Linked DNA regions of Diceros bicornis minor. The protein of the gene in region 1 purifies or fractionates together with the protein of each later gene. This does not show direct contact. Links are inferred from orthologs where the notes say so. Each region holds a gene or a part of one and is shown on either strand. Other genes may lie near its edges.

Region 1 (9,555 bases):
CCCTAACAGACTAATACAAAGACAGCACATATCACCTGTACAATGTGGCAAAGTTGATTGGGACGTCATTCATACTAGAAACAGTACCACAAATCCAGTGTCACCTAAATCCACAAGCAAGACCTGACAAGGGGCTTACCTAAGGAATTCCAGTAAAATAGTAGTGAAAGAGTAGATAGCATGCTGAAGGAGGAATTTAGGAAAGCAGGTGCTTTGGAGAACAAGTCATCTCAAACTGTCTTCCCTAATTCTTCAGCCAATCACGGCAGAAGGTTGTGCAAGGGAACTAGGCACACAGCCAGGAACCGCAGCTCACCAGAGCCCCTTCTGTCATGAGAAACTTCTCATCAGACTCTAAAATAATTTTTCCACATGTTTCTCCCATACCCCCTACCACCATTATCATCACATGTGAAATCAGGATCCTGCCATGCCAAGATCTTGTCAAATGCACTGGGCTCACCAGTGGTGCCCTGGTATCCACAGCTCCTCACAACCTTCAGCAAGTGCCTCAGTCTTTCTGGAGGGTAGAGGCAGAATGGAGCATGGCGAGAGAGCACACACAGACACACACATGCACCTCTATCTCAAACCCAGACCAGCACATCCTCTAGTCCACTGCTTACTCCCTCTGTAAGCACAGTAACCAGGAGACTCAGACATAGGAAGCAGCTTCTCTGGCTCTCCTCAGACTCTAGGCCAGTAGAAGTGAGCACTCTCCTTGTCCAGGCACCCTTCATGAAGTGGGCTATTTCCAATCTCTATAATCTAGCATTTCTGGAGGGGAGGAGGTGCTCACAGACTGCTGCAGAGGGCCACCTGCTGTCTCACCCAGCTTCTGCCCCAAATACCAACACCTGGGTAGCCTCAAAAAAATAAAAACACAGTACAGTCATTTATCAGTATCTATTAAAATTTAAAATATACATGTCATTATGACCCAGAAATTCCTCTTCTTGTCATCTATTCTTGAGAAACAATCTGCATAAACTATATACAATCAGGAAGCCCATCAATAGGAAACTAGATAAAATGTAGTCTACACCCAAACTTTGAAATTTCACACAGCTATTAAAAAGATCGAGGTAGATCTATATAATAGAAAGATTGCCAAAACATATCTCTGAATTTAAAAAGCCATGACACACAACAACACAGATGCAAGTCACAAACATGGTGAGCAAAAGATGGACACAAAACAGTTCACTCTATAAGACTCCTTTCATATAAAACACAAAAACAGGCAATACTAACGCATGCTGTTAGAAGTCAGGATAGTGGTTACCCTTAGGGGTTCAGAGGTAGAGACTAGAATGGAGCAAGAGAGGGCTTTGCTGGGGGAGGGGCTGGTAAATTTCTGATTCTTGATCTGGATGCTAAGTAAATGAACAGATTCAGTTTGCGAAAATTCATCAAGCTGTCACGGTAATTACATTGTTCTATATGTATTTTATTTTATACTTCAATTAAATGTTTGAAAAAGAGCAATACAATTTTAGGTAAAAAAACAAGCACACACTTCTCTATTTCTTGAAGTATTCCTATAGATGCACAGGTAAAATATCTAGAAGGATATCTACCAACCCGAGAAGGCTCACTTCTGGAGAATGGGGACTGGGGTGATAAAAGAGACCCTGGTTTTATCTCTAACATCTAAATTTCTGCAATTGATGTACATATATTATTTGTAAAACTAAAAATTAATAAAATTGAAAATGGGAAAAGAAGTTATGGCTAAAGTGACCTCTACTCCCCCAACTATACCCCAGGGTGGCTAAGCAGGAGACCCTGGGTAAGGGGAGGTTTGAGAGCCGTTTTTCAGGGAGGCAGGACTGCACTGCTCTGGCTCTAGTTTCCCTGAGCGGGCCTGCAGGACCCACTCTCAGATGGGAGGTTCAGAGGAGGAGCCAGCCAGGTAGAAAGGGAAACCAGAATTCATCTCTCTAAGCTTTCTGTCCCTCTACTTTCTAAGCCCCAGAGCAGATGAACCCTGATCCCCTATGTCCTCAGGGCACAGAGAAGCTGGACCTCCTTATGAGGCCCTGGTCTGCCTGGCTTGTGAGCACCCGAAAGGAATGTCAAACCTTGGGTGAGAAGGAAATTCCCAAAAAGTACATAAAGTAAAGGTTTCTTAACCCATGGTTGCCAGCCAAGGCTCTGAGAACTCATGCATGCTTTCTGAATCAATGGGGAGGAAGATGGAAGGAGGGTTGTCAACGACACTGAACATTAAGAGGCATTGTCCTCATACCTGAAAACACTGTATACCACTACACAAGCCAGAAGTAAAAAACATCCTGCCATCAACACTCAAGAAAGTCAGCTTCCAAGTCAGCCTCCTGTTTTCATTGGTTCAGGTCTAAGGGGCAAGCAGGGAGCCCCTCCCTCTCCTTGGATGGACAGACAACAGCTGGTCTGGTCATATCTTCCGAAATGCTCGGCCACAAACCCCAGGAAGCAGCCTTCTCCATCCTCCAGCCAAGAGCTTGGGTTTCCAACCAGCCTTCCTTTTCTTTCCCCAGAACTAATTTTAGACTCCTTGGTTGTCAGAGTAGAACTGAAATAGTCGGCAAAGGAACGTTTGAAAACAAGAACATGAGCTCACCTCACAAAACACCTCAGCTCCAGCCCAGAAACTGGCTAGAGAGGAGAAGTCCCATTGTGCAGCAGGCCAGGCCCCAAGAGAAGGTCCCCGGGGGGAGGAGGGCCATACATCTGCCCAGTGGGGCAGGCTTCCTTTCCAACACTCGCTCCCAGCAATCACGTGTCCGTGAATGAAAACACTCAGCTAGGGCTGCCAGTCCCTGAGACACTTTGAAAAAGGCACATGTATGTGTACAGCGAGACTGGAATTACCAGGGTAAAGCATAGGGCTGTCCGAAGGCATGAGTGATCCTGGGCCAGGAAGAGGCACGGCTGATCCTAGAACAATCCCAGTCCACATTATCAGTTGGTTTCCAGTACCTATCACTGTCTCAGGCAGATATATCACTGAAAAACCTAAAAAACGAAGACTCAGAAGAAGGCAGCAGCATCTCCTCTCCCTCATCCCCATCACTACCCAACAACCTGAGCATCCAGGAGCAGCACCACTAGGACCTCAAGGAACAGGTACCTCTTGGGCTGTGGGTCTGGGGGGGAAAGGGCCTGTGAGTCTGGGGGGTAAAGATCAAAAAGGAAGCTCTAAACATGGGGATGGGTGTCTATTCCTGAAGGAAGAATGGTGATAGAAGGCAAGGGAAGAAAAGAATTTTGAGAAGGCAACAAGGTCTTTCCTTCAGAAGGACCCCAAAAGAGATGGAACTGGCAAGTCTCAACTCCAGCAAGAAACCCTTTAAAATAAGCACTTCACACACGGGGAATGTGGAAAACCTGGAAACTGAAGCTTTTAAGACTGCTTCCTCCCACCCTGAGAACCCAGTCTGTAATCAGTTCCAAGTGCAGCAAGCTGTCTTGCTGAGTTCAAGATCAGAGAAGAGTCCCCCCAGAAAGCCCTCCCTAGCAGAGCTGGGGGTCGGTCCGGGGAGCAGTGGAGCACAAACACGGGTGCTGCCAGCCTGCCAAGCCCAACACACAGGCGCCCATAGAGATCACCCCTTCCGTCAGGGCCCCGGGGCTGGCGCCTGGCGCCGGCAGTTCTGCCCACCACGCCTCCCCAGGTCCAGAAGAAATCTGCCCTGCCCTCCAATTCCCCGAGGCCAGGAGAGAGACTGGTGCCCATACCTTTGCGGAGAGGCTGCCCCCCTGCCCTGGCGTCCCCGGGCTCGGAGCTCCAGGCCCAAAGCCTCTGTGGCTCCTCGGGGCGCCGCACCGCCGGCGCGCCCGGGGGAGAGGGCATGCCCGCGTCCTGCTACCACCCCCCGCGCTCCTGCAGGCCGCCGCGGGCGGCCCCGGCTCCGGCGGCTCCCGAGTGAGCAGTCAGGGGCTGCGGGGCGGCGCGCAGGCCCCAGCAACAGGCACTTCCTGACATTCTGCGCGTGCGGAGGGAGAGGCACGAGGCGCAGACCGCACGGCGGCGGGCAGAGGGAGGCGGGCGGGCTGCCCGGCCACCCACAACCGCCGCCTCCCTGAAACCCGAACCTCTTCTGGGAAAACTCAAGGACGCCAGGATTCTCCTCGGCGGCCAGCGGGTACTCCAGAACCACTCATTTCGAACCAAACGCTCACAGCCGAGCAGGTTTATCAAAGGAGGAATCTCCTAGGCTTGGATGAGAATCCACCATCCCACCCCGAATACAATGGGAGGGGGGGTGTATGCAGACATTAGCCATTAACCCCATCTCCCACAAACGTCTGTCTCTTTAAAGCATGAGAACATTCTAGAGCAGATATTCTCAACCCGAGGTGATTTTGCACCCCCTCTGCCTAGGACATTTCCGGTTGTCACGATTAGAAGTGCTATAAGCATTTAGTGGGCAGAGGCCAGGGAAGCTGCTAAACATCCTACAGTGCACAAGACAGCTCTCACCACTACCCCAACATACACCCCCCCCACACAAAGAAACATGGGGTCCAAACTGTCAATAGTGTCAAGGTTGAGAAACTCTGTCCTGGAATGAGGTCTACCTAGCCAGGACCCCACCTGAGGGCTGTCTATTCAGTGTCCTTCTCAAAAGCATTACCCAGGCCAGATCCCCCTCGGCCCCCAGATCCCAGTCCACGGTAACAGGCCAGTATCCGCAAGTGGATCTAATCTCTGACCTGATGTCCCTTGGTCCCCACTTTATCCTGAGCTGCCAGGTAGGGGGCTGAATGCATAGGTACTCAGGGGAGGCCTTCCTGGAGGAGGAGGAGACTAGGGCTGGAACATGAACACTGGGCAAGATCACAAATGACAGAAGTAAAGAAGTCATGTCCAGTGGCTAGAACAGGGTAAGTGGATGCAGCAATGTAGGAACAAGCCCGGTGAACCCCCAAAGGACAGCAAGTTGCCCCTCAGGACTGGTACAGCGGGTATGTGCAGGGCAGTCAGGACTTCACAGAGGCCAACCCAGGGGGGCACAGGTTCCTGTTATCAGTGCAAAACAGCAAGTGTGCTGCACAATGTGTGTATGTGCATGTGTGCACACACACACTCGCACCCTGATTTGTATTTTCCTGGGGAAAGGGTCCACAGCTTTTATCAGTTCTCAGAGGGGCCCATGATACAAAGGACCATGGTGTAGGATGGGGGCTCTTTGCAAAGGAAATTCCTTAGGTGAAGTGCCACGGGAGGTCCAGGTGCTATTTGGGGATTCTCGATGCCCAGAAAGACCTTGTGGGGTAGTACACCACAGAGGCCCACCCAAGCTGTGCGAGGCCGTGGGGTTCTGGGTCTTATGCTTTCACCCAGCTGTAGGGCCTGGGAGGTTGGGTGAGTTTCTCACATCACCTACCTTGGAAGAGCCTCTAAGAGCTGAGGAGGGTGCCCACTCCTCCCAAAGGCTAGGCCAGCCGGCCAGGGAGAACCTGGAGTGCCCACAGATATAAGGACAGGTAGCACAGGACACCCTTCCCTGGGGAAGAGCACCAATGGCCTGTGGCTCTGTGGTACATGGCCTTGACAGCAACCACTACACTGGGCCTGAAGGTCACTTGACTCATCACACACACACTTCTCCCCTAAGAAAATGGACAACATCTTTGGGTCAGAAAGTAGCCAGCCAATGAGGACGGCTTGGGGCAGTCAAGGCCTGCACTTCCTGATGGGGCAGACAGGAGTCAGGTCCTCTTTCCCCACCAGTGGCTCCCAACATTCCACCAGAACACTCTTCACCCCGCCCCACAGGCTCCAATCTGAACCCCAAGTACAGAAGCAGATGTCCGGAGTTCTTGTGGCACACAGAGATGTGTGTCTGGGATGTCCAGTGCAAGGCAAGAGCCAGATGACTTTTTTCCCAAGGACACCGGGCCAGGCACAGAACACAAAAGACTTGCAGAACTAACTGAACACTGATCTTGTAACAAGCACCATGTGCCACTATTACAGCACGAATTCCACCTTTTCTTCTAGGCCCGTGCCATCCAGTATGGTAGCCACCAGCCAAATGTGACTACGGAGCACTTGAAACGTGGCAAGTGTGAACTGACATGTTCTGTAAGTATAAAATACACACTAGATTTTCATGACAGTACAACAAAAAGAATTTATTTTATTCTTTTATTCTCATTATTTTAATACTGATTACATAGTGAAATGATTATTTTGTATATATTAGGTTAAATAAAATATACCATTAAAGTTAATTTCACTTTGTTATGGACTATACTATGTTCCCTCAAAATTCATATGTTGAAACCCTAACACCCAGTATGATGATATTTGGAAGATAATTTGAGTTAAAATGGTTCATGAGGGTGGGGCCCTCATGATGGGGTTAGTGGAAGAGGAAGAAAGAAAAAACTCTCTCTCTCTCTCTCTCCCCACCAGCACCAAGGAAAGGCCCCGTGAGGACACAGTGAGAAGACAGCCATCTGCAAGCTAGGAAGAAGGCCCTCACCAGAACCCTGGCACACTCATCTTGGACTTCCAGGCTCCAGACCTGTGAGAAAATAAATTTGGCTAAGTCACCCAGTCTATGGTATTTTGTTATAGCAGCCCTAAAAGAAACACCTGTTTCTTTTTCCTTTTATTAACATGACTACTAGAAAATTTTAAGTTATATATCTGGTTCACACTATATTTCTGTTGGACAGTGCTATCCTAGATCTTCCTTCTACAAGGGCACTGTGTGCCACAGGGGGTGGGGGTAATTCTAAACAGCAAGCCAGGAGCTTGAAGGAAGGGCATTCACGAAGTCAAAGGAACAGGAAGGCCAGCTCTGCCCCCAACCTGGGCCTGGGGCAGCTCTTCCCATAATTCCTCATAAATCAGGGCAGTGGCGACTAGAAGATGGTGACCCCCACCTTCCTCCCAGGGCAAGAACACAGGTGATGGGACTCCAGTCTAGCTCCAGCTGCCCCACCTTGCAGGGTACACTGCTCAGCACTACCCAAGCCAGGAGTGGGGAGCAGGGGGAAGAGGAGAGAAATACAGTCCTTCCAGGGGCCCAATTCAACTCTGCCCTGCCTCAACAGGGAGGGAGGTGAGACTGGTGAGGCCAGACTGAGACAAATTAAGGAGAAGGTTCCAGGTTTGAGGCTGTCCTGTCCTAGGAGGAGGCCCCCTCTGCAGGCTTGGGCTTAGAAGAACCCAGGCACCTCCAGGAGGAATCTAGAGACAGCCAGGTAGGCTGCTGGTGCCTATTAAGTCGGCTTGCTCCCGCCCACCCCCCTAGAGACCAATGCTTTCCTTTCACTTCAGAGCTCTCATTCTTGGGAAAAAGCATCTCAAAGCAGCACTTAAAAGACAGAGAGAGAAACAAGTTCAACACCACCACCACTTCGCTTCTGCCACACAGAAAATGGCTCCACAAGAGCCATGATGCCCCCTCCCACATCGTTCCGAGGTACCAATAAGAGGGTCTCTGTCCTCTGGACCCTGCACTCAGGCTACTTAGCTCCAATCCCCACACCGACAACTCACTGGCTTTCGGTGCGGACAGCTAAGCCACGCTATACCGTAAAGCAGGCGATTAGAGTAGAGGTGGCGATGGGATGGAGATCCCGGATCCCCACGCCCGCAGCAGCGCGGGGATCCCAGCCCCGCCCTCGCGCACCCGGCCCCGCCCTTCGAGGGTTTCCCAGACTCCGCGCTGCTGCCACCGCGGGCGGCGGGGGACCCGCGCTGCATGTGTAATGGGGGCTGGGAACAAAGACGCGCAGGACCCAGCTCCCGGCCTACCGCGCACCCGCCGCCCCAGGCTTCTCCCTAGAGCTTCACTGCGCAGCTCCCCACGTTTCCCACAGGCGGTCCCTGCGCGCACACCTGCGTTGGGCGCGCCCCAGCACCGCTAGAAGAGGAAAATCAGTGCTTCGGCCTTGAGGAAAAAGCGCTTTTCCGAAACTCCGCGTATATACACCTGCACCCACACACACGCGAGCCGAACGCTAGCCCCGCGGGTCACCCACCCCCGCCACGTGCTTCCCGGAGGCCAGAACGAACTGGGACATGTTGGCTTTTCTTCTCGCCTCACCTCCCCTCCCAGGCGCCCAAAACAAAGCGGTCCCGCAGGGCGGCCGCACCTAGCGTCCTGAGGCCCGCCGCAGGGAAAGCGGGCGCAGTTGGGAGCTGATGCCAACGGCCCGCCTTTCGGGGAACGACGCAGACGTTGGTGGGATGGGGTGCAGAGGACCCCGCCGGGCTGTGTGAAGCAACCCCCTTCGCTTCGCAACACTTCGTGGCTTTGAAGGTCGCGCAGCCCTGCCCCCAGCAGCTGCTGCACCTACAATCCCGCCACCCTCGGATTAGATCTGCCCGCCCCGCTTGGCCACCCTCCCCACGCTCCGGTTTTCCTCTCCCTCTCCCTGGGTTCCAGGCGCCCGCGTATCCTGAACCCGGACCCTGGGGCTCCAGGTCCCGCCCCCATCATGGGGTCGCCCCCGCGAACCGGAGCCCCGCAGGCCGCCGTACAGACAAGACCGTCCTCCTAAGATCGGCGAGCGGGGCGCCCAGCGCGCCCCTAGTCCCCGCCCCGGGAGGTGTAAGCTAGGTGCAGGTGGCGCGGCGAGGAGGCCGCGGGCCCGCCCTTTGTTGGTCAACACCGTGCGGCGCCCGAGGCCAGCCCGGCTCGCCCTCCCCGCACCCCGCACGCCGCGCCTCGTCCTTACCCGCGCACAGCGATCCCCAGAGGAGGGCGAGGGCCGCCCAGGGCGCCGTCATGTTCCGCGGCGCCGCCCCGCGGACACCCGGAGCCCGCGGGCAGGGCCGCGCGGCGCTCCCGGGGCGCGCAGGGCCCGGCGGCGGCTGCGCTCTCCTTCCCGCTCCTTCCTTCGGTCCCGTTCCCCGCGCGCTTCCTGCGCCTTCGTCCCCGGGCAGCGTGCAGGCTCCAAGGGCCAGGCGGCGGGGCCGGGCTCACGGCTGCTGCGGGCGGCGCAGGCTGCGGCCCGGGCTCCGGGGCGACGCAGGGGCCGGGGGGCGGCGGCGGGGCGCGGGCCGGGGCGCGCCCGACTCGGGCATAGCGCGGCGGGGCTGGGCCCGGGCCCCGGGCGCAGGGGCCGAGTCCGGAGGGGCCATGAACGGGGGGAGGGGTGGGGGGAGGGGAGCTGAACCGAGTCCAAAATGGCTCCTGAGCCGTGGCCGCGGAGCCGAGCCAGCGGGGAAACCCGGATGTTGGATACAAAGAGGCGGGCGAGCTGGGCGGGGAGGGGGAGGGGGAGGGGAGGCGGGCCCTCTAGCCGCGTGGTCCGCGCCCCCCTCAGGGGCGGGGCCCCAGAGAAACAACAACAAGGAGGCCCCGCCCCCAGCCCGCGCCCTCCGGGAGGATGCGTGCAAACCGTGGAGCTGGAAGACGAGGCTGGGTGCGCAGACAGAGGTGGCGGGATTGCACCCTGGACCACTTTGCCCCGGGAGCCCGTGGCCGCCGCACCCGAGATTCTTGCTCCACGCGCTGGAGCCCATGCTCCCGAACTCGTGCTGCCCTGCGACCCCGGAGTGGATGGCCAGCCCCCGGACTCTGGCCTGGATTCCCCTCTGCG
Region 2 (10,066 bases), on another chromosome or scaffold:
AGACGACAACTTCCCAGTCACCTGCTCGGGGTGTTCACGTCTCCTGGCGTGTATTTTTCACTGAATAACAGCAATGCATGAGCTGCAGCTACAATAAGAGAGCCATGAAAAACAGCCCCCTTTTCTAGGCCTGTTTCCTTGTTCCAGGAGTACTGAGCAAAGAGACCAATTAATAGCACGGATAGAAGGCGAAGGACATACGGTTTGCCTCAGAAGAAAAATGAACATTCTTGCCTCTTGATCTATGCCAGCTTTGTACAGAGACAGCTGCCGCCACGGGTAAACACCACTATAGGTTAGCCGTGCCCTAAGATGTGTGTCACCTCGGGCCACAGGGAGGCACAGGGACGCTGGTCTCTCCCCTGTTTGCACCACTGAGCTCTTATCCTTAAACGAACTTTGTTTTCTGACCAGCTCACTAATCGTGATCGAAAACACCAGCTCCCCAGCAAGGCACAAGCACTGGAGTTAGCAGCAGCAAGACAGGCCCTAATTGCTCCATTTACATAAAAGTAGAAACATACAACTTCTAAATATAAATCTCTGGCACATCGTGCCTTTTGCAATTACAGTAAAATAAGGTACCACAGTTTCCCTCCCGGCTCCCTCTCGCAACAAGCTGCTCCACCGGGTTCTCCAGGGGCTGCTCCTCGAGGCGAGAACAGAGCCATGCAAATGCTCCAGCGAGCGGCTGGGCGCTTTGTGAAGTAGCCAGTAAATCAGGCCGCCTGCACTAGGAGAAAAACGCGGCGGCAGCGGGCCACTGTGCCAGCGCAGTCGCTGGTAGGACCCAACTCCGCAGTCGGAAAGGGGACAGCTCGTGGGGCGTCAGCGCTTCTAGCGCGCCTCTGTCCGCCCTGGAGCCGGCCCGCAGGTCCCCGTCCTGGTCCCTGACATTGGCTGTGCTTGCAGCCCTGGCACGAGGGCTAGGTTCAGAGATTCCCAGCTGCACTCACTGAACAGTGATTTTTTTTTTCCCCTCTCTGAATTCTTTAGCTGCCAAAAGGGGGGAAAAATCAAGAGCTGCTTTTAAAAGAAGTTGCCCTTGCTGGTGCTCGGGGTAAAAATAGAGGCGGCCGCTCCGAATGGCTTGGCCCTGACTCCAGACCCGAGAGCCGGGCTCGAGCAGCAGCCGCGTTCCGGCGTGATCCCCGGGAGCTGCCAGCAGGTGTTGCTCAAGGTACAGTAGCAGGCCGAGCAGCGGGACCGCAGGGCCCGGGCGTGGGGAAGCTGCGGGGGGAGGGGGCTGGAAGTGAAAGAGAAACCAAACCCAGGAAGGAAGAGGAGATGCTTGTCAGGAGCTGGGCTGACCCGTTTACCCCTGGGTCCTGGAGTTCGGAGGGGGTTAAAAGATCAGTCCCAGTCCAAAATATTCGACAGAAGTTATTTTAACCTGCCTGCTTCCTCCACCACCCCCACCTTCATTTCCACTGAGTGAGGAGGCATTTCCAGTGTGGCTCAGCTCCAAGGCTGGGGATTCAGGTAGAGAATGACATCACAGCTGGTGGGCCAACCTGGCAGGTGGGCACTTCCGTGGCATCCGATGGCCAACGCGATCTGAGTCACACTTATAGGGTGGCTCCTCTAGTCAGAGTGCTGCAGATTCCTGTGACACAAATGTTTAGAAAGAGCCACCATGCATCTCAGAAATAATATCACCTCTTCTTTCCTGAGTACAGGCTTCCCTGCAATTGAGTATTGCGGATCCTACTTCATAGACGAGAACACTGAGGCCCTACGTGACATGGTTAGTAGGCAGTGAACCTGGGGTCTGATCTGGGTTGGTGGTCTACCCCCACACTCATGGCGGTGGTGGTACTTCCAGGACCCCAGGGTTCATGCGTGGGGGAGGGGGCAGGTTTAGCTGCCCTGCAGGCCATTGCTCTCCAGCAGTGCTCCTCACAGAGGTGGGACATTCCTTTCTTCTAAAGAGGTTGAGTCCATCTAGTTCTCAAGTGCTGGACAGCTTTGGAGTTAACCAACACTGATCCTGTTTCTGTCTTTCCTTCTCAGATTCCCTCTGTTCCTCTACAACCTAATGATTTTATTTTCTACTTCATTTCTGCGTATGCAGATGGTAGAATACTCACCCCCCAGCCCCCACTGTACAGCTCAGCATCCACACTTTCTCTGTGTTCAGCCAAGGCAGACCCTGTTACGCAGAAGACTTATGGTGTCCTAAAGGAACCTGCTTCAACTGCACGTCAGGAGGCCAGAGCCTCTGTATTTTGCTTGTGGGCACAGTGAAAAGTTTATTTTATGCATGTTAAATCCTGCATACAAAACAACATATCTGGTCAGATGGCTTTCATTAGCTCCCAGTTTTGCACATTTTATTCAACTTGTCATGAGTACCCAGCTATATTCCTTCTCCATCAGTCTTGTCTGAAGATTCCTTCCTCCTGTGTTATTTCCCAGACTTGCTAATACTCCCCCACCCCCCTCAAAAAAAAAAACCATAACCAACTTGACCCGTATTTCAAGGAATGTTTTTCTTTTCGTTAATCTCGTGTTATATTTGTAACAATTTTAAAATCATAGGACTTGAAGTTCTGATAAAGAAGAATGTTGTATGAGTTGTTTTTTTTTTTTTCTTTTTTGTTAGATTGGGATTCTAAAGACCTGGGAAAGATAAAGTTCACTTGCAGAGAATGACTGTTTCCAAAGTTCTTGGTGATAAATGATTTATGAAGCAGGCATTCAATTTCAAGCGTAAAATAATAGTGTAAGTCAGGGGAGGGGAAACCATTATCATATCGGTATGCATATGTTCCTTTTTTTCTCAATGAAATATCTTATTTTAAAAAGTAAAATTAGAATCCCTATAAAGAGCACTGTGAATTTTCCTGCCTGTAAGAAACAATAAAATACTTTTTAAATAGAGGCAACTTCATGAAGTAACAGATGTTTTATGTGAAGACATAAAGCTGAACCTGAATATAATGAGAAGTGTGTGTGCGAGTAGTACAAGAAAAGTTGAAAGTTGGACACTCAGTGAGACGTAGCTGTTCCATTCCGGTGTTTTTCTAAAAGGTAATCCAGTCAGTCAGAGGTTTAACTGGCTCAGTGATCACCCAGTGTCACAGCAGCCAAGAAAGGCTTTCCATTAGATAATGAATTATGAAATATGGCTCACACTGGAAAAACCAGTCATCTGCTGATGTCATGCTGATTCTGACCAATCCCAAACAAAGCCCCAGCCCTCCTCTGTTTGAGTGGTACCAATGTGTGAGTGTACAAATAAGTAGTACAGTATAAAACTTCCCAGTGCCAATACCATGAAGAGGAACTCAGACAGCTCCTAACCACATAATACAAGAGTCTGCTGGAGAAAGAGAGGACCGGAGAGGTAATCTTTTTAACTCTTACTTATGAGCTATTTACACATTCAGAATCAGAAGGGTTAGAAGGAATTTTACAGCTTATTGACACTTCCATGCACATTGGGATTTATATCTTTTTATATTATTCAGGCAGGTTAATATAGCTTTTAATAGTAGAGCATGCAAATAGATTATGTGTTTATACAACTCATTCAGCACTTAAATGCAAATACATATGCCAAAGAGAAAGCTATTTTTTAAGAGTTACATTCACAAACAGTAAATTCAGGGAAAACACACATACTCACATACAGAGAGAATCCAAAGATTGATAAATTGCACTTATCTAAATGCTACTATTAGGACTCTTGAGTTGTTTGGAGTCATTAAACTTTTAATTCTATTTCAGACTCTCTTGTAAAACTTAATTGGACTACGAAATGCTTTGGGTACTGTATATGTGACGCCAAATAAGTACATTGTGCTAAGTATTATATTTCAAAGATGTTTTATTAAACAATTATAATGCAAACTCCCCCTTCCCCATTCTCTTTCACCATCACCCACTAAAAAAATTAGACTTTTTAGGGAATGTAAGCAAAGTCTTAACAATAAGAGCAGAGTAATTGATGTTCCTGGAGGTGAAACCCCAAAGCTGATAGATGGCTTGTAACAGAGAAAGTCTTGCAAGTAGTTGTTTTGGGAAAGGGAGACAGTGTATCCTATTCAGAATAGCATTGTTACCTGTGCAAACTGTAATTTTAACTTAGTGCCACAATTTTCTCACCCTCCTCCCCTTGCCCTCAGATCTTGTCCTTGTACTAATGATATTTATTAACTTTTTCCACCAAACTGCATTGCTTGACTATAATGCTCTGAACACACTAGGTGTCAGATATAAGCTGACTGTATCTACAGAAACTGAGAGGGCTTATGTGTGGGAAAGAAACCGAGAGGGAGGGAAAGCTTTAACAGATGGACCTCTTAAAGATACTTCTGCAAGATAAAAGCAATAAGAAAATGAAAAAGGGGGCTGGGGGGGAGGAGAATAAAAAAAAACTCAGAGAAGCATTGTTTAAAAATTCACATTTTTCTTTTTCTGTGAACAGTGAAATCCGTGATAATTTCATCTGTGCTGTTCCTTTGAGGGAAAAAGAAGCCATTAAAGGAGCCAGTCCATGAACACACTGATCTGGGATGGGGTAGGGGGCAGGCTGAAAAAACTACCACATGACAGAGAAAATAATTTGCCAATATATTTTAGAGATTCTTTTCCCATAGGACTAGTTATTCAAGTCACAGGAGTGCACTGTTTGTGTAAAATAATGTGGGAAAGGGCAAATGAATTTTGCATTTGATCTGTGAAGTCAGGGCCGGTGGTGGTAGGCTGTAATTTGTGAGTGCCTGTGTGCAGAGCAGAAGGGGGTGGCGGCTAAGGAGAGGGGAAAGAGCTTCACAGGACACGGACACGTAAAATGCTGCCTGCTTGTGGATCTTCCAGTGCCCGGCTGCATTTTGCAGCTGGGGAAAGTAGAGTGTATTATATGACCCCAAACAAAAGTTCTATTGCACTCTCCTCAGATCCCCAGCCGGTGGTGAGGATCCAGAACATTTCAATAGGAATGAATGGGGAAACGAAGATCTCCAGGATTCCCTCAGGCCCCAACAATTGACTGGCCGGCCCCCTAGCACATTGGCCCCTCAGCCCTCTTCCCAACTCCACTACCTGTCCACTGACCTCTCGGCACCCCGAGCCCCACCGGACAGGACAGGCTGGTAGGCGTTTGGTCCCCTGGGGCTGTGGCTAGGTAGGGTGGAGGGGTGCTGGGGGTGGGCTGTTTCAATCCAGTCATCCCTGCTGATGGAGCCAGTGCATTTGTTTGGCATTTTCTTTCTCCTCCAAAAGAGGAAGAAGGTGAAGCAAGGGGACTGGGCAGAGAAAGAAAAAAAAAAAGAAGTAGAACAAAATTAGGAGAATTTCTTTCAGAAGGGAAAGTAGAACTCCCGAGAATGCTGGTATTTGAAGAGAGGTGTGTGTTGTGAGGGAGCAAGGAACAGAAGGAAGGCAGCCTGTCAGAAAACGGGCTGTCCCTCCCCTTCCTAATCACAGCCTTTACTCACAGACGAACTCCCTCCCTCTCCCATTCACTCACTCACTTAGGGCCAATCGTTCTCTCGTTCTCTCTCTCTCTCTCTCTCTCTCCCCCCCTCCCCCCTCCCTCCCTCCCTCTCTCCCTTTCCCTCTCTCCCTCCCTCCCTCTCTCTCCCTCTCCCCCTTCTCTCCCTCACTCTTCTCTCCCCCTCTCTCCTCTCTCCCTGTCTCTCCCTCCCTTCCATCCTCTCTCTGTCTCTGTCTGTCTCCCCCCCACCCTGTCTCTCCCTCCCTCCCTCCTTCTCTCCCTCCCTCCCTCCCTCCCTCCTTCTCTCTTACTCGGAGACAGTCAGAACTCTCCTCCCTGACAGCCACAAACCTACAGCACTGACTGCATTCAGAGAGGGAACCTGCAAACAAAACTTCACAGAAAACTTTTTGTTCTTGTTCCAGAGAATTTGCTGAAGAGGAGAAGGAAAAAAACAAACAAACAAACAAACAAACCTGTGCGAGAGGGGGGAGGAAAAGCAGGGCCTTTTAAAAAGGCAATCACAACAACTTTTGCTGCCAGGATGCCCTTGCTTTGGCTGAGAGGATTTTTGTTGGCGAGTTGCTGGATTATAGTGAGGAGTTCCCCCACCCCAGGATCCGAGGGGCAGAGTGCAGCCTCCGACTGCCCGTCCTGTGCACTGGCCACCCTCCCAAAGGATGTACCCAACTCTCAGCCGGAGATGGTGGAGGCCGTCAAGAAGCACATTTTAAACATGCTGCACTTGAAGAAGAGACCCGATGTCACCCAGCCTGTGCCCAAGGCGGCGCTTCTGAACGCTATCCGAAAGCTCCATGTGGGCAAAGTGGGGGAGAACGGGTATGTGGAGATAGAGGATGACATCGGAAGGAGGGCAGAAATGAATGAACTTATGGAGCAGACCTCGGAGATCATCACGTTCGCGGAATCAGGTCGGTGCTGGCATTGAGGGTGGTGGGGGGGATATGTTTCTTTGACAGTCCTAGGAGGAACTTCTTTTCCCTCCAGCTCTAAACTGCCTGGGAAGATCATTAGTTATTAGGTGATGGAGGGGAGGGGAGAGAGCTTCACAGAAATGGAATTCTCGATTGAACCTGGGCTGGAGATGGCTAGCTTACACTTGCTGAACTCAGCCGGTCACTCCGGAGGAAGCTCCGGGGCCAATCTGAAGCTGGAAGCTGGTCTGTGAGAGGCTCCCTCGCCCTGCCTATGAAACCAGATCTGAGCAGCCGGATGGAAGCCGGGGCATTTTCGGGTGCTGGGGGAGCCCAGGAGGCTTCCGGACCCCATCCAAAGTTTTTACTGGGGGGGGGGCAGAGTGCGGGATCGGGATGGAATGGCACAGATGAAGTCATTCTTAAAACAAACCTTCCTTTTAAAAGTCCAGTCAGGGGCCACATCAGCGAAGAAGGGCATATTTATTAGTGACAGTCATTTTTACCTTTAGAAACTCCATCTGTAAGAGCACAGGCATCACATTCTAGGCAGTAAAGAGCGACTTTGGGGGACAGTTGACATTGAAGCAGCAGTCACTTTTGAAACTCTGACTTTTGCTCTTGGAACCAAAAAAAAAAGAGTTTTGTTCTCTATAAAGTTACTAAGAGCTCTCTGCCAAGGAATGCAACCTTGACAAAGTGCTCTCAGATACTACACTGAACTCTCACTCAATCCTTAAGAGGAAGAACTTTAATAAATAGATTCTAATCAATCGTTGGCTCAGGACCACACTAACCTGTTGCTGAGTAGGAAATACCTGTCAAAAATGCAGGCTGTAGACCTGGAGCCAGTTAAGTGACACAGATCCTTTTGCATGCCTGCAAGCCCGTGCACGCCCAGGCACACAGATGTGTTAATACCCTGTTACTTTCATGGTAATGCCAGGCTAAAGAATTGTAGCCCTTGCCAAATCCATTTGAAAGGAATGCCATTGTTTTGTTTGGTAGAGCATATGGCCGGTAAAGTATGTGCAGGGACTCCCAGCATTTCTGTTTAAAAGTTTGCCGCAGCAGTATAAACAATTAAGGCAACACTCAGAATTTCCAATCCTGAAAACCTGTTGACTCAGATGTTCTATTTTCAAGAAAACCATGCGCGACCTGGGCATCCTTTTCGGGGAGTAGGTAGCCCACTGGTTTCCTGGCTTTTCCCTGTAGGAGAAGTCCTGGTGTCCTGCAAGCTCCCGGCAGGGCAGTTCAGCTCTCTCACCAGCAGCTTCTTTCTTTTCAAGAAGGTCTTACTTTCTTTCTCTAGAACGCTTTCTTGATGCAGCCCCAAAGAACATGGTAATTATGACTTTATCTCTTGAAGCTTATTGAGGAAAAAAGTCAGGTTGGAGTTTTCAAGTTGCCACCCAATTTTTCTCGACCTTTCCTGGTGGCAAGGTAGGAAAGAAAGTGCTTAATGACGTTGGGGTCTGTTTGGGGAATGGATTCTAGTGGTCCACAGGACTGCTCCCTCCGTGTCCTGCCCTGCCGCAAGGGACCCTGTATAGGTTTTTATATACCAATTGCCACACATGATGGTCTTAATTGCAGCTCATACTCCTTTGGCTTTACCCGCATCATATAACTAAGTGTACTCAAGCCTTTGACCGCTTTTAATATACACCTGATGCTAGCAATCTGCTCCTCTTTCTGCCTTATCTGACTTGTATAGCAAATCATTCTCTTGGCATTGAGAGATTTTGCAGTGAAAGAATTTGACCTTTTACATTCTTTCTTACTTATGGCCTTCATCTCAGTGCCAATATTTTTCTCAGTTATATGAAATCTTGTCATTTTTTAACTTTTCCATTAGGTATTTAGTTTGAAAGAAATTGAGCTATTTTTTTAAAAAGGCTATTCATTTAACTCACACGCTGACTAAAGTTTAAGGTTTGTAATGGAAATCTCCTCCTGATTGAGTTTACAACTTGACTTTGGGTGAGCTGCTGGATTCTTAGAAAAGGTTTATTACACTTGCTTATTTTTCTCATCTGAGAAATTTTACACATTACCTTCAAGTTGATTTACTATGATTTCACAGATGTAATGATTGCTATGTGGACAATCTACTCTCCAAATAGAGTAGCCTGTGAATATTTTGCTAACCCTGGAAAGAGATTCATCATCTGAATGATTGTAGTGAATATATGAGCATCTTGTTGCTTTTGGAATAATTCAACCTTAATAATATTTAAACTACATCAAATGTCAAAATTTCTGGAGAATAGCAAAGGGCGTTCATTTCTCTTTTCTTTATAAACTGTCATGTACAGCATAGAATCCAATCACTCAGTGTCACCCACATGCATGCCACAGATGCATACCCATAGATGAACCTTTCAACTGCAAGATTCCTCAATTTGGAGGATTCATGTTTCATTTTTGCCTCAATTCTCCTTGATGGTTAAATAAAGCCAAGACATGGCCCAGCAGTTGAGAAACCACAAAAGCTCAAGTGCCTAGAAGTTTTTGACCTGAGCTTGTCCCATTGTGCTCAGGTGGAAAGTGCTCCATCTTGTAAAACCTATATGAGCTGTAATTGACCAAGCAGCCAGGAATTATTCTCAGGCTTTCTGAAATTTATCCCAACAAATGAAAATGATTTTCTTTTTATGTGTGTCAGCCAAGATTGCTCACCAAGGTTTGCATGGCTGGCACAGAATCTTCTCTGTTTACCTTAAGACCTTAAAGGAAAAGAGGAAGGGATGAGTAGAGTCCAGCCAACTATCACTGTAATTGTCAATGAAGCTAAAATCAGTGGCCTTCTTGACTACTACATATTTGTTATGTTATTTTGATATATGATAATAGCTGGTCAGTGTATAATAACAATGTATCATTGAGTCTCCATATGCTGCCAAATTTATAGGCTGATTATGGTAATTAGCAACTGATAGCACTTGTCGAAGAAAGGATAAGGAAAGAAAGACAAATGAAACTCCAAGAAATAGAAAATGCTCACATAGCCTAGGTGTTGTTGAAAGTAACAAATAAATCTCTCTTGGAGGATTCTAGTTACAGAAGATTTGAGTTAGAATTTTACACTGCCCAAACAGGGGTCTAAGCAGGCTTGCTTGGATGACTATTTTCCCTCACCCCAAGAAAGCCATCTCGGAGTGGAGTTGACTCCCACCATTCCATGCCGAGCTTCTGAACTTTTCTGCGAATTACGCCTCACTGAAAGGGTGCCTTTAGGGGTTACACGCTTTCTTCTCTGAATAATGGGAAATGACTGGCCACAAGAGGGCGCATTCCAAAGACTTTTGCTCCTTACCAGTTAATCTAGGCAAACGCAATTTCACCTACTGGAAGCCCCAGTCTGTAGCGCCCTAATCTTGGTGATTATCAGTTACCTCCTGCTTCCTCTCATCCTCCAGAAAAAGTTAGGATTTTATGGGATGGGAGGAACGTGACTACCTGTGATACATTAAATGAGACAGAAGGGAAGGAAATGGGAATTCTAGTGAGGCATGTGAATATTCTGGAGCTCTATGGAAGACAGAGGAATGATAAATTTCAGAAGCAAACAAAGCAGAGCGTGGAGAAATGTGACCATGAATCATCAGCAATACTGATGTGCTCGCACATCTCTCCCTAACACGGCCGCCTGGGCTATTACAAACACGTCTTCCGTCTGCCC

Evidence for each region.
Region 2: the proteins of ACVR2B (region 1) and INHBA purify together in Homo sapiens (affinity purification with western blotting; 3 studies listed by BioGRID and IntAct, with this or other methods). This does not show direct contact. The link is inferred for Diceros bicornis minor from reciprocal best matches to the Homo sapiens genes ACVR2B and INHBA.

The regions. Positions count from the first base shown.
Region 1 is NC_080741.1:41,293,077-41,302,631, reverse strand, and holds the start of ACVR2B (activin receptor type-2B), read right to left. Parts: upstream 4,428-9,555; 5' UTR 3,839-4,427; coding exon 3,724-3,838; intron 1-3,723. UniProt on the Homo sapiens protein: Transmembrane serine/threonine kinase activin type-2 receptor forming an activin receptor complex with activin type-1 serine/threonine kinase receptors (ACVR1, ACVR1B or ACVR1c).
Region 2 is NC_080742.1:5,596,176-5,606,241, forward strand, and holds the start of INHBA (inhibin beta A chain), read left to right. Parts: upstream 1-5,799; 5' UTR 5,800-5,987; coding exon 5,988-6,375; intron 6,376-10,066. UniProt on the Homo sapiens protein: Inhibins/activins are involved in regulating a number of diverse functions such as hypothalamic and pituitary hormone secretion, gonadal hormone secretion, germ cell development and maturation, erythroid differentiation, insulin secretion, nerve cell survival, embryonic axial development or bone growth, depending on their subunit composition.